2 linked regions of the Styela clava genome follow. The protein of the gene in region 2 interacts with the protein of the main gene of each other region in a biochemical or structural test. Links are inferred from orthologs where the notes say so. Each region holds a gene or a part of one and is shown on either strand. Other genes may lie near its edges.

The links.
Region 1: the proteins of phosphatidylinositol 3,4,5-trisphosphate 3-phosphatase and dual-specificity protein phosphatase PTEN-like (region 2) and large ribosomal subunit protein eL27-like form a complex in vitro, tested with the Homo sapiens proteins (2 studies listed by BioGRID). The link is inferred for Styela clava from reciprocal best matches to the Homo sapiens genes PTEN and RPL27.

Annotation. Positions count from the first base shown.
Region 1 is NC_135250.1:23,438,333-23,446,580, forward strand, and holds the start of large ribosomal subunit protein eL27-like, read right to left. Parts: upstream 3,272-8,248; 5' UTR 3,212-3,271; intron 3,004-3,211; 5' UTR 2,995-3,003; coding exon 2,914-2,994; intron 1-2,913.
Region 2 is NC_135260.1:11,756,012-11,763,817, forward strand, and holds the start of phosphatidylinositol 3,4,5-trisphosphate 3-phosphatase and dual-specificity protein phosphatase PTEN-like, read right to left. Parts: upstream 3,479-7,806; 5' UTR 3,366-3,478; coding exon 3,287-3,365; intron 2,142-3,286; coding exon 2,057-2,141; intron 1,379-2,056; coding exon 1,334-1,378; intron 1,258-1,333; coding exon 1,214-1,257; intron 1-1,213. UniProt on the Homo sapiens protein: Dual-specificity protein phosphatase, dephosphorylating tyrosine-, serine- and threonine-phosphorylated proteins.

The sequences.
Region 1 (8,248 bases), on a different chromosome or scaffold from region 2:
CCGTGACGAGAAAAACTGCTTGCTCGATTTGGGTGATCGTCTGCGCGTCTTGGCTGACAGTTTGTAGTTTGGAGGGTCTTCTTACGTCACTGTGATGAAATTTTTGGATTGCGTAGTCAGGGGAGGGTTGTGATTGACATATGCTGACATGCAAACATTGTTATGCTACGACCAATTAGAAGTACTGGAGGTACGAAACTACATTAGACCCCACACATTTGCACACTAGCATCTTACAAACCCTTTTTCACTGTCCATTCATACCATAGACTAGTGCAATATAGTATTAGATTTATTCTTATTATGGTTGAAACACCCAATGACAATGTAGCGTTTTCCCTGCTTGAACGGGTCTTTAGATGGGCATTCCAAACAGCCTGAAACATAATACTACTGGAATCTGGTATAGTTTAGAATCACAAGTACTTCCGAATACAGTACGGCACACTATCCCGAATCCGGATTTGCGTCTACATTCCGGAAGAGCCAAAATATGAATAGGCGTCTGTGAAACCGGGGGCGTCGAGTCGTCTGCGAGCTCGATGCGTGAGAGCGTCAGATGTCTGGATATGACGTCAAAGAAAGTCACGCACAGATCGACAGTTCGGCACGGCTCTCGAATTTTGCTAATTTGATTTTCGTTTTTTACCGATGTATACTGACCTATATGGTTAGATATACGATGTATTTCTGAATCATTATATTCAGTCTACTGTTGGTAGTGCCTAATTAAAATAATGTCGCGTAAATGCAAACGTCTGTGAATAAAATAATTACTTTTAAATAATATCAAGAGATTATAAAATTATGCGTTTCGAGTAATACGTCTACGAGTCCAACTAATTTTATTATAAGTGTTTGTGACTACATGACATTGTTTGAATTGTCGTATAACGAAGTCAAAAAGATGCACGATATCGAAGTTTTTTTTTCAATAGTTAAATTAATATCGATAGTGAAACTTTGTATGCCCGTTAATACATGTAATTACAACAATTTAACATAGCATCTTCGGTTATTTAGAACTGAAACTTCCAGAACGCACAACGATTACGAATTACGATATCATTTAATAATTATATTCGAGATTTTTATTTAAATTTGAGCGTCAACAATCCATAGTAAAATAAAAGCCTCGATGATTAATTGGATTAAACTATTTTGCCAATTTGATTCTTGTTTTTCACAGACTACGCAAGTTGATCATTTGCGGCATACGAATGCATCAATGCGGCATTATATTAATTTGATTCTTGTTTTTCACCTATCTATTCTTGCATAAATCACGCAAATTAACATTTGCAGTATATGATTGCCTCGACGTGGCATTGAATTAAAATATTCTCGTATTCCGTATACTTCGAAGTTAAACATTCGCGACATATGAATGTATCGATGCCGCATTATATTAGTTTGAATCTTGTTTTTCATCGATCTATACTAGTATAAATTACGCAAATTGAACAATTGCTGCATATGAATACATCGATGCGGCATGATATTACATTATTTTGCTAATTTGATTCTTGTTTCTTGCCGATCTATTATTGTGTAAATTACGCAAGTTGATCATTTGCGGCATATGAATTAAATTATTTTCGTATAAATTAACATTTGTGGCATATGAATGCCTCGATGTGGCATTGAATTAAATTATTCTCGTATACCGTAGCTTTCGAAGTTAAACATTTGCGGCATATGAATGTATCGATGGGACATTATATTATTTTGAATCTTGTTTTTTACCGATTTCTACTAGTATAAATTATGCAAACTGAACATTTGCGGCATTTGAATACATCGATGTGGCATTATATTAAGTTATTTTGCTAATTTGATTCTCGTTTTTCGCCGATCTATTCTTGTATAAATTACGCAAGTTGCACATTTTGCGGCATATGAATGTCTGGTTGCGGCATTAGATTAAATTATTGCTTTATGAACTAATTTATCTAATGCTATATCGAGGCATTAATTTTACTGTTTATCGATTGTGTGTTATCAAAATGTAATTTTTATTATCTCTGATCCATTTATTATCGTTAACACGCCATCCTATCTACATTGAAAATGAGAGAAACACGGCACGCCAAGGTTTACGTCGAGGAACGGTCGATGCGTGCCTGCGTGCGTCGATTGAAATTCAGTGACGTCACACGCCGTCAATCGTTTTTTTGCTCATTTCTCTCGAACGCACCGGTAAAATTTTTTTTACATCGGTAGATCTGATTGTTTTTTCACGAGGAATTCAATGGTGATGGTTTTAGATTGCGCTTTTTGTTAGTTTACTGCGCAGCTTCAATTTATCGATATCGGGAGACAAAATCCGCCAGACGTCCATCGAAGGAGGGGTATTCGATCACCGTTAAAATAGGTTTCTCTAAAGCGAGAGAATGTCTCTCGATCTGTAAAGTGTGCCGTACTGAAATACTATTTTACTAACGAATTTTGCGTAAGTCATTTCTAATCCCTATCTGACTCCATCATCCAAAAATTACATCACTACAACGTACGGACGTAACAATCATGTCATAGAACTTGACTAAGTTTATCTACAATCGCCCGAAATGGCATCTGCGCCTTACTAACGCCAGCGATCTCCCTCATATCCGGATCGCTACGGCAAGAAATATAGCTTGCTCGTAATCGTCTGCGCGCTTTTGATGAACATCAATATACTTTAGGAGGGCCTTATTACGCCACTACAATGATTTTTGGTGACGCAGTCAGGTTGGGGTTACAGGGTTAGAAATGACATATGCAAAAACTGCTAAGCCAGGCCAACTAGAAGTACTTCAGGTACGAAACTATACGGTACCAGACCAGACCAGACCATTGGGGCAAATTAGTTCTATGACTCACAAAGTTGTATGCAGAAACTTGAATAATACAATTATAAGTTGGGATAAATACCTTTACAATGATGGCTTTTCTGCCAGCGTACCTCCCTTGAAGGACAATCACCACCTTGTTGGGTTTCATAAACTTCCCCATCTTTGACGCCTGTTTAAAATACAATATTTTTAAAACATCAACATGCTGGCTTTTTAGTCATATTTCTAGGAATATTCTTTCAAAAGCATTGGATATTGTACCGATAAAGCATAATTCTAGATCCAATCCATATTCTGAACCAACATAATTGATTGAAGCAATGGCCAGTTGGCCGATTTAATCGGGTAAAAAAACTTGATAATTAACGCATACAAACCTACAGACGGGACCGTGAAAAGGCAGGCAAATCGTCCTGTTCAGGTTTTGTTGACATACGGCGCCATCCAGTGAATGGATAAGTTACCTTTTCCAAGCGCAAGGTGAAGCAGATGTTCATGAATATAAATTTGCCATATGGTCAAATGTTTTTTTCTGACCATCAACCAGTTTCATCTGGCAATAATTGGACACATTAGTGGACATAACGATCGTTTTAATATTATGTTGTTGTTATTGTTATTCGTCATCATTATCATTAAAATATCGCTTTTCTGGCGCGGCGGTGTGGCTCAACGGGCTAAGCGTAAGGAATACGCTCGCCACCGCACCTCTAATTACTCTGCGTGGATTCGCAGGTTCGAATCCCACGCAGGGATGGTTATGTGCGAGAGGATTACTGGACTCCCTGCCGTCGTTGGGTGGTTCACGTAACCGCTGGTCGGTTACGGCTTCCTCCACCACCAAGTCCATGCTTCCGAAAAAACAAACAATATAACTAATCCCATACCCGATCCCATACCCGGAATGGTAACCGGACGAGAGGCCGTGGTTCGCCATATGGATAAACCGTCTTATTGGCTTTCCTCTCTCCCGGGATAAATATGTAAATCCTATCCTATACTGGACCAATTGCATTGAAATTTTCAGTGGTTTAAGATGGAATTTTTCTCCAGAAGACTATTACTTTTGGGATAGGATAGGATTTACATATTTATCCCGGGGGAGAGGAAAACCGATAAGACGACTAAATCATATGGCGAACCACGGCCTCTCGTCCGGTTACCAGTCCATGTCGGATATGGAATTAGTTAGCCAGTTGTTTGTTTTCGGAAGCATGAACTTGATGGTGGAGTAAGGCGTAACCGTCCAGCGGTTACGTGAACCACCCTACGGCGGCGAGGAGTCCAGCAATCCTCTCGCACATTATCATCCCCGCATGGGATTCGAACCTGCGATCCCACGAAGGGTAATCAGGGGTGCGGCGACGAGCGTATTCCCAACGCTTAGCACGATGCGCCACACCGCCGTCAAACTTTTTGTGAATCCTATGAGATTTGCTATTTTCATCAAAAATTTCGCTATTTATTAATTATTTTATTTATTATTCACGACTTTTGCTAGTATCCTGTTTGACTTTTATCTCACTTTGATTTAATTTTTAGACTCACTCCCCCAGGATGACGCTGCTCGATAACCTCTACTGGTTTATCGCGCCTCCCTTCACACTGAAAGTATTGTTTTATATGGGATTCGTAGTTATTTTTGTCTATTGTGTACTTTTGGTATGTGATAAAATAAACCACTGACTGACTGACTGACTATTATCATTTAATCATGGGAACACGATTTTTATTCTGGAAATTCTGGAAATTCTTGCTCAAAAACTCAAAGATTTTTAAGGTTATCGGTGTTATATATTATGTTGAGCTTACTATCATAGCTTGTTTACTACTCTATCTGCTTGTGTGCTATATTGTTACGTCACAATGCTGTCTAGTGCCGTAAGTTGTTTTTCCTCTGTTTAGAGGTCTTTTGTTCTGAACTAAGTTGACGGACGGATGTCCAAATAAATAGCGTGCAGTTTTGTAATGAGTCTGTATTCATTACTTGTTATAAAGATATAACAAATTGGCGACGAGGATTAAAAAGCCTTTTTGTGCCGTTTTGTAGCCATTTCTTGGGGAAGGAAGGAAGAAAAATATATCGAAGTTACAGCTTAATTTCGAGGGTAGATAAGAGAACAGTCGCTGGACTGCGACGGAGTTAGAACTGAATATTGCAGCATAATCAGTGACTTTGGATATTCATAGTGAACAGCATTCACTGGACTGGGAACCCAAGGCCTGTTATTATATTGAATTAAACGGCAGTAAATTATTTGAGCATCGTTGAAGCACGATTGCAACTGTTAACAGAATAATGACGTCAGCATCATTGGAAGTTGCGCAATTCAACATTAATCGCCCAGACGAATGGCAACAATGGCTGCGACGATTTGAAAACATGTGCCTCGCCATGTCGGTTGACAACGCAGAGAGAAAGAAGGCGTTATTATTACATTTTGCGGGACCTGAAGTTTTTGACCTGCATGAGAATTTGCCCGCACCGCCGAATGCAGATGAAAATGATAATGTTTATGCCAACACCGTTAAGAAATTGGATAATTATTTCGTGCCAAAGATAAACATTGATTTTGAATGTGATGTTTTCAGGAATGCAAAACAGAAATTTGGCGAAAATATTGATACTTATGTGGCACGTTTGCGTAAATTAGCTGTTACCTGTGATTTTACGGATGCTGATCGTGAAATAAAACAGCAGGTTATTTCTGGTGGATGTGATTCTAGAGTTAGGGAAAAAGCTCTACAGCAGCGTATGTCTCTTCGAGAACTTCTGGATTATGCAAAAAGTCTAGAACAAGCAAAGCAACAAACAAAACAAATTGAACAACGTCACACGAGACCAGAGAAATTATATGAAATTGATGTGCAGCGTGAAAAGAATTCCGATAGCAAATTCAAGCCTAGAGCACCACAGCTTTCTTCGGCTAGAGGGGGTAAGTCTCTTAGATGTTTTCGTTGCGATAGTTCTAAGCACTTTGCCCATGAATGTCCATTTAAAGATGCCAAGTGTTTTAGTTGTGGTAAAAAGGGCCATACCAAGAGTGTGTGTCGATTCAAGAAATCAAGTCAGTATAGACACGGCCAGAGAAGTAAACAATGTAATTCTCAATGTTGTATCGCTGATGATAAGAATACGCCGGGCGAAAGTGAAACGAATGAAAACTCTGGTTCATCATACGAATTACATCATACAGTGTCGTCCGTGCAAAATAACAATGTGGGTGTGAAATGCAATCCAATCTATCTTGATCTTGACATCGATGGCAAAAACATTTCTTGGGAAGTAGATACAGGGGCTACACTATCTGTCATGTCTTTAGTGCAATATAAAAAGTTGTGGCCAAAAGCAGAATTGAACCACACCGATGTTAAACTGTCTACATACACGGGGGAGTCTATTCCAGTAGAGGGAGAAAGGGATGTTACTGTAACGTATCAAAATGGTAACCCAATGGTATTGCCAATCACTGTGGTAAGAAATAGTAACCGCTGTAAACCATTGCTGGGGAGAAATTGGTTGAAACATATCAAACTTGATTGGAATTCAATTTTCAAAATTAACTATTCTGATGTTAAAATCAGTACACTGCTTGATAAGTATCCTGAATTGTCTTCACCTGGATTAGGTTGTGCAAAAACTGAAGCTAAATTGGAGATTGATGACAGCGTTAAGCCTAAATTTTATAAACCACGACCTGTACCTCTTGCACTCAAAGAATTGGTCGAAGCTGAACTTGATAGACAAGTTGAAATCGGTGTTTTGAAGCCATGTAAAACATCCGATTGGGCTGCACCTATGGTTACCGTATTAAAAGCTGATCAGAAGTCAGTTCGGCTCTGTGGAAGTTATGACTTGACTGTAAATAAAGCAAGTCGTCTCGAGCAGTATCCATTGCCAAAGGTGGATGAATTATTGACTAAATTTGCTGGTGGGGAAAAGTTCTCTGTTATTGATCTGAAAGAGGCATATCTGCAGATACCATTGGCAGAAGAGAGTCAAAAGTACACAGTAGTTAATACACATAAGGGATTATTCACGACAAATCGTCTTGTTTATGGAATATCAAGTGCCCCAGCTATATTCCAGAGATATCTTGAAACACTGCTGGGTGACATAGCAGGTGTAGGTGTTTTCCAAGACGATATTGGAGTAACCGGTTCTTCTGATAAAGAACACATAGCCAGATTGGAAGAAGTTTTCAAGCGTCTTACAAATGAAGGTCTAAAAATTAATCCAAACAAATGTAAATGGATGGTTTCGGAAATTACTTATCTTGGATATCGTATAAATAAACTTGGAGTTCAACCAACTGAAGATAATCTGGGAGCTGTTCTGGATGCCCCAGAACCACAAAATATACATCAGTTGCGCTCATATCTGGGGATGCTTAATTATTATGGTAAATTCATTAAAAATTTATCAACTGTTGCTGCTCCTTTGTATGAACTTCTTCGTTCGAATGTTCGATGGCACTGGAATAAAAGGCAAGTGGAAGCTTTTAAGAAAACGAAATCGCTATTGTGTAATGCTCCATGCCTTGCTCATTTTGACGGAAATGCCGCCGTCATTGTTTCTGCAGATGCCAGTCCTTATGGAATCGGAGCAGTTTTATCTGTAATAACGCAGGAAGGAGAACGTCCTGTGGCTTTTGCATCCAGATCTTTGTCAAAACCAGAGCGTAATTATAGCCAATTGGATAGAGAGGGATTAGCTCTAGTATTCGCTGTTACAAAGTTCCATTCATTTTTATATGGAAGACCGTTTGTTTTGGAAACTGATCACAAGCCACTTCTCGGTTTACTTGGGAAGAATAAGCCACTTCCTGATGCAGCTCCACCGAGAATGATCCGTTGGAAAGTATTACTTGATGGATATCAATACGAATTAGTGTATGTTCCAGGTAAAAACCAAGCCAATAGCGATGCACTAAGTCGTTTGCCTTTGCCTGTTAAACCGGATTATATACCGCCTTGTGGTGATGTAGTGAATCTTCTTGAAGCAGTCGATTCTACCCTTGTTAAAGTTGATGCAATTCAGTCTTGGACGAGAAGAGATCCTGTACTGTCCGCAGTTATGCATCATACTCAAATGGACTGGCCAAAATCTTCTGACATAGACCCAGAATTACAAATTTATAGAAGCAAAGAGACGGAACTAAGTGTCCATGAAAATTGTTTATTTTGGGGTTGTCGAGTAATTATTCCGCCACAAGGAAGACAGAAAGTGTTGCAATTACTTCACGATGGTCATCCTGGTATTTGTTCTATGAAAAGAATTGCTCGTAATCATGTATGGTGGCCTGGGGTGGATGCTGATATTGAAGAGTTGGTGAAATCTTGCAGTTTGTGTCAACAGTTACGTCCCAGTGCACCTCAAGTTCCTGCTAGCCCATGGTCTTATCCTAATGGTC
Region 2 (7,806 bases):
GGGGGCCAGGGAAAAAAAAAGATTGAGGCGCTGGGCTAGACAATCTCTTGGCGAGAATTTAGAGTTGAAATCATAATCTATGAAATATATAATAGGTTAATGACTTAAAATTCGAAACAGTTTTGATCAAATTGGATTGAAATACAAAAATGTTTCTCAGAACTATTTCGAAGCTCTATTTCCTAGGGTTGTAAAAAAAAGGTTCATTTCGTTTTATTTGTAAAAGGGCTCGTGTATATTGAATATTAAATTAATTGGAATCAGAATCTCAAATGCAACTAAATGAATAATAAACAGACCAACCTCAAACGGAGTTGCATAACTTAAAAATAATTGATTTTTTCGGTAGTAGGAAATGACTGATTGTGCATATTAATCAATGTGCTGATTATGTAAATTTGCAACATAGGTTACGTCAATGTTAATAATCACCCAAGCTACTTCACAAGTCTTTTTGCAATGAAGACCCAATATTTTATATAAATCCAACCCTATTAAAATGTTTCAAACTTTCCTTATATTTTGAAAGATTGCTATTTTAATTATCCTGGTGACTGAAATATCACAGATCAATTTCAAATTTTTTAAACAGACTCTATTAATAAAGAATATTAGGATACAAATATCTGTAACCAACAGCTGAGTATTTTTTATACTCCTTTGGCTCTGAACAAGGCTCTACACAATCACTCACTGCTACATAAGGAGTTATAGTTTGGAATTGCAGACCCAATTTATTACGCCTCGGGTGAGGTGGCGAATGAATATGAATGCAGTGGGCCACCATTTCTACAAGAAATACAGCTACTATTTATTGTTGAGATTACAGTAAAATTGGGTGCAAAATTTAAATATTGAGCTATGTTTACATCTTTATTTTAACAACAATTTTTCGCAACTTGAATTTTTCCAATAATTTTCCAACATAGTATATTTTTGGGATATTCAATATTTTAAAATAGTTTTAAACCGATATTTTTTTAAAAGCTATCTAAATCAATTAATATTTATAAGTAAGATTAAGGAAAACTGGCTGCAAGATTTAAATATTGAGCTATGTTTACATCTTTATTTCAATAACAATTCTTTCTCAACTTGAAGAATTTTTCCAATAATTTTTATCATGGTGAATTTTTAGAATATTCAATATTTCAAAATAGTTTTAAACCAAATTTTTTTTAAAAAGCTATCTAAATCAATTAAAGAGATTTACCTCTTTTGTGAAACTTTTCAGTATCGTATGTCCTTTCAGAACATCTGTAAATAAAAAAAAAATATGATATTTATACAATATATACATGTGAATATATTATGACCATTAAAATGTACTTACAAATTATAAACTTTATAGTGGCCGGGATGCTTCGACTCAAGAAATCTGAAAAAAAACAAAGAACGATATTACAGAGTAAAATACAACACAGTTTTTCACTTCTCATATTAGAATATGATGATTTACATCTACACATTAAGTCTTCAGATTATTTCTTATGATCCTAAGTTTAAAGCTACTCATGTATGAATGAATTTCATGGTTGATTTTTTGGTATGTACATTTATTCACCTCTTATTAATAATGAAAGTAGCTATATATTTCATTTTAATGTTAATCACTCACTAAACAAACTTCAGATTAAAATTGACAGAATAATTTGTAAAAAAAGCATAAATTTCAAGAAAAAGCATAAAAATTTCAAAAATATCAGTTGTACCATACCAATGGAGTTCATTATATCAGGTTGATAATAAGCATACACCGTTGATAAATGTAACATCAAAGCAAACTTATCCCCAGCTACTGCTTCATAATGGCCCAAAAAAGGATTGGAAATTCTAATTTTCAAGGCAATACTGCAACCACATGGCTGCATGTCCATAACAAAATTGAGCTCAAATAACAATCAAGTTTTAAATTTTTTGCAACACAACATACAATGTCATGCAAAAATCAGCCAATATATATATACCGGGACTCATAAAAATTTGAAAATCAGTCTTTTTCTTCTGCAATCAATCAATGAATTAAACCGAATTTCGTTTTTCAAATGTTACTTACTTGACTACATCATCAATATTATTCCTGTACAATCCTTCAACTCTTTCTGCTGGGAATCCCATCGCAAGAATATTTGGACAGATATCTGAATGAGAACAAAAAAAAAACATAGTAATTTTTCTGCCAGTTTTCCGAATGCCTTAACTTGAATACTATGAACCAGTATATCAGTCTATCATATCAGGGACATAATATATTGACCCTACGGCTTTAGTTCAGTGGAATTTGAGATTTTATTTTGCTTAATTTAGACTTCATGAAAGAACCGAGTCAAAAATCATCTTGCTTATAATTTTTGTTCTGCAGTCATTTCGTAAGCATTATTGTGCTGTTATATAGCATTTATGATTCAACACATTCAAGACATTATATCTACCGTAATAAAGTTACCATCAAATCTCAAATGTGATAATGAAAGTGAAAGTTTTAAACATCTGCTGAAAACATTATTGAAAAATATTCAAACAATGATCAATATTAAAAAAATACATTTTATGTGCAATACCATAATCGTTCACTGCTACCTGGTAATCCTACTCTCTCTACATTCCCAAATATAGGAAATAAAAATATAATTTAGTTTGCCAACACTGACAGGACAGTCATTATTTTGATAATAAACCAAAATACTCTTCTTGAATTCATATTAAAAATTTAGTACAACCCATATTTTTGCATATACCTGTATCTGTATGTAACAATTTCACTGCTACACTGAATGCTGACAATTACAGTATTTTTGGTTTTAGCAAAGATTCCCAATGTGACAGAGTAAAGCATGGCACACAGCAACTAAATAATTCCTAGCCCTTGCTATATATATGTATTGGAGATTCTTTTTGTTTTACCTTAGAAACTTTAGCAATAGCAGTTTTCATCATCTCTTTAAAGGCTATCAGAATATTTAAAAATAAAACTACCATATCATAAGGCGCACTGTCAATAAATTGCTTAGATTGGGTTTTTATTCATACGAAAGGTGCATTGGGTGTTACTGGTTTTGAGTGTAGGCTATAAGGAACTACCTGATTCAAACACGAGGCGTTCCAGCTTGACAATTTATTTTTGACGGAACGAAATATTCAAAGCGTATCTTATGCTCCATAAAATACTGAAATGAATTAGTCATGCAAATTTGATATAAATAACTTGGTATATTACATGCATAATTTTTTTGGCACGTTATCATCAGATTTGGCCTATATTCGAATATGAAATCTATCAACTTACATGTGAGATCCAGATCGAATCCTCCTTCCTTATATCTTCGTTTCTTCTTACTGACCATAGATTTTATTGTGTTTGCCATCCTGATGCTGAATAATATCCACGGTTATCCGATAAGGTATAATTCCTGAGTTAAAATTACTACGGTATTTCTATTAACAATCCTTTTATTAATAACTATCTATTACACTGTGACAATAAAATAGAGAAAAAAACATGAAAACTTGAATTAGTTATACAGGGTGCTCAAAGAGTCATAAATGAAATTAGATAAAAGGACTTTAAGGTGCTTTGTTCAATTAACGGTGAGTATATTATTTATATGTGTATTAAATGTAGTAAAAAAAACTATTTAAATAAAACAAACCTGGTCAAGATATATCAAGAATCAATTTATAACAAAATTTGGATCCAACAGAAATATAAACTTTATACATACCATTAGATTAGACGAATCAAAATCATTCCATTCACTTTTTTTTATAAATTTTTAAATTCTTATTCCAATAAAATTCATAGTTAACCTAATTTCGTCGTGGATATGAAATTGAAAATGAATCTACTTTGCGTCTTTGGTATATACGAAGTTCATAATAGACAAAAAATTATTGAAGCATGACATTGACAGCATTGAAACTTTCGTTTTAGATTATCTCGCCAGTCACACTTCACTGATTATTAGTGGTAGATTACAATTGCTACCATATTTGCAAGACCCTGTGTGAAATTACATGTAATTTCAGAAATAGGATAAAAATTAAAAACCACACTAAAAAGTATTCAATTATGTATTAAAAACTTAAACAAATTGAAAAAATCAAGACTTTTACATTTCTACACTGCCATCAGTCAAATTTGTACTTTTCAGAAATTGAAATAACAAACCTGATACCACGCAATGTATAAATGATCAAATTACATTCATCATTAGCTCGGTTTTAAACGTTCAAATATAATTGCTATTTTAAAAGACAATATCGTTCCATATCATTTTTTTTAAAAGCAATCCACTGGACGCACCCTGATGTACAATGCTTTATAACAGGTATTTATAGCCTCCTAAATTTACTTCCTTGTTCTATCTCTCTCTGTTGGTATAATTAAGTATTTGCAGTAAAAAATTAACACTGTGACACTACAGCATAGATCAGTATGATTTACTTTATTTGGTTCAATGAACTCTATGACCTCATGCAACCCACACTATGACTGGTTGCATAATATTTCACATATTCGAGAAGGAACCTTGTCCGATAATATGCATAAATATTCACATACATATATATATAGATTATGTCAGTCAAGTGACAATAAATAGACTTGGATGTATATTCTTGCTAAGTCTATTACTTAGCCACACTAGTTTAACTACACATGTTTAAAATGTTCACTTAAGTCATAGAACCGATAGATGCATAACTGTCCTTAAGATCTAACCTGCTGTCAAAGTGGCAGCCCAATATGCTCTCTACGGGAGAGGGAGGCCATTCGAATGGTGATTGGAACCATATAACCATCCCTACCTCTAACCTAAGTGTTGGTAATAGGTATGGGCACGGTCAACCAGGTATTTTTTATTTAACTGATCTCTGATAGTTAGTTACAACGAATTATGACAGTTTAATATACATTCACTTCAAAAAATCGCTAGACTTTATCCTCTGTGGCCTTCAATTTGAAAAGAATACCAATCCTAATTGTTAAACACCAAGGAAAAGCTAAACTGGAGATGTTTTATTTGATTTAAAGCAACAATGGATAACCAGTCAATTTTGTTTGATAAGAGAACAAAGAATATTAACTAAAATTATCAGCCCAAGTGGGAATGACTATTAACTATCCTAGGAGTTTTCTATTTTCTCACCAAGAACAAATTAACATACTATGGAATCCAATTTACTTTCAAGCAACATGCTATAATCCTATCATCTTTCCAAATGGATTTATAAGCATAATATCGATTTTGAATACATCACATTATAAAGCAATGGTATAATATAAATTTTAAAGCAGGTATATGCTATATAACTATAAAATTATCACTTTAAGTATTCGGTATGAAACATTGATTACTACAAAATTATAAAATTCAAATACTGATAATAACCCATAAGATAATCAAGATTATCATATATCACCACATACGGGTACTTCATTCAAATAGCATATACTGCAAATTCATTTCTCCTGAATCAAACCATCCTTCATACAATTTGTCATAAATCATGATTCTGTTGCACAGGGGGTGATAAAAATAAAAATCCCCAATTTCACAATTTGAAATTCTTCAAAAAGCATCAAAATATCAAGAATTGAAATTCGTTCAGACAAAATTCCTCCAATGGCTTGGCATCCACACAACAAAATTGCGTATTCAGAAATATCCTATTTATAAAACAACCATGGAGTATTAAATGTAGATATACAACCATTACATATGTATCAATGAATAACGTCATAGATCAATAATTGAGTATTTAAATAGACATGCCATCGCATGACAGTTTATTTCTATAGAAAGAATGAACGACCTTTCTTACAAAAGTGAAAAACGATTAACAAAAATATTATATCGATACATCACATGTAATATAAATAACCTTAGTTTCTATAACCAAAAGGTAAATAGGGTGTATTTGACTAAACTTGATTATGCAGTACGTTTTTAATGATCTTTGATATAAAAACCAAATCTCTTGTGAATGTCATAATAGAAAGCTTCCATTGTTGCACTCCTAATAAATAACAAAAGTTATGAATTGTGCATAGCTATAATGCCTTATCAAAAAATAATCTAATTTCCAAGCTGTTTATTCCCAACACAGCTGCTGAAAGATCCTCATTGATGATTTGAATTACCTAGTTTTTGCAAGTAATCACAGTGTATTTATTTGCTCACTTTAACTAGAAGTAGATAAGATGAATCGAATACTCAGCTTGAATCGATCGTAAAAAATGACAAAAAATTTTTTCAAAAAATACTTATTACAGAGAATATCTGAAATTAAGTAATACTAGAATCTATTTGGAATTGATTGTATTCGTTATTATTTAATTGGGAAAATTTAGAATAGTTGAAATTTAGAGCAACTGAAATCATGCTGCAAAAATAAATTTTTGAATAGAGAGAACCAATCACATAATTTTTCATCTTACTTAATTGTATTAAAAAATTTAACATCACTCCTTATAAGTTATATATCAACTTATATGTGTTATTTGATGAACATAAACTAATTTAGAATATCCAATATTATACAGTGTATTCAGAATAGTATATTAATCGGTTTTCGCCATCATAGCTTGTTTTTAAGCTAGAAGTACAAGTTTATTGAGACATTGATACAAATGAGTTGAATGTAGTTTTTGATTATTCTCTTATTTTGTGTTATACACATCCTCTGTATACCATAACGCAGAAATAAAATTGATTGCTCGTGATAATGGAGGAATTGAATCAATTTGCTCAAATTATTTACAAATTCAAAACGCCCACTTCACACCCAGCCTCAGCGAGCTTTTTTTCAATTTATTTACCTTACTCGAAATAATCCAAATGTAAATATTCACTTGCTATAAAATAAATAACTGGAACTAAACTAAATAAAAATATTCATAATTTCTTTTTAAATATTTCTTCAAGGAATAACTATCTAAATACTACTGATAGGACTTCTATACCCTTAACAAGAGCACAATACAAGAACTTGATATTTTCCATTTTCCACTTTTCAATCTCGAAATCATCTTCAATCAAATATGCTCAGTTTTTTATATCGAATTAGTGCATTCATTATTACTTAAAAATAAGGCCAACCACAACATCTCATCATAATTATACCAATGCCTGGTCAGGTATGGGATCGACATAGCATTCTGGTTTATCATTCCAGATTATTTGATTAATGATTTGATTAAAACAGTATGTTACAGTTCTCTGATTCCAAGAATAGCCCCGACGTTAAAATACATCAAATATAACAGTGGAGTGCAAACCCTCCCATTACAATACAGTCTGAGCCTCCATATTGGCAAACTGGGACAAGTCATGAACTAAAAGGAAACGCAATCTAAAACATCACCATTGGATTCCTCTGAAAATAATAATCCGATTTACAGTAGAAAAAGAAATTTTGCCATATTTCATAGCATTTGAGAGTTTTTAGCAAATAAACGCAATTTTGGTCATATGACGGCCGACGCACATCACAATTAATTTAAATTATTACCATGACTAGCTTGGCGTGATCAGAGAAAAATAGCATGTTTGTTTTATTGAGGCAAATGTCGAAACATCTTGGAATCGGAAGCTTGCAGGAATGTTTTTTTGAACCTTGGCTGCTTGTGGTCAAGCAGCTGGTTCGGTCTCTGAGGTCCACTACAGATTTACGACACCACTTTTCACTATGTGTTTACATTCATTTTATCTCTTCCATTGTATTTCATCTAAGTACTAGAGTACAATATACAAATATATACAGTGAGTATCGAGATATTCCAGTATTCACATATTACTGAATTTG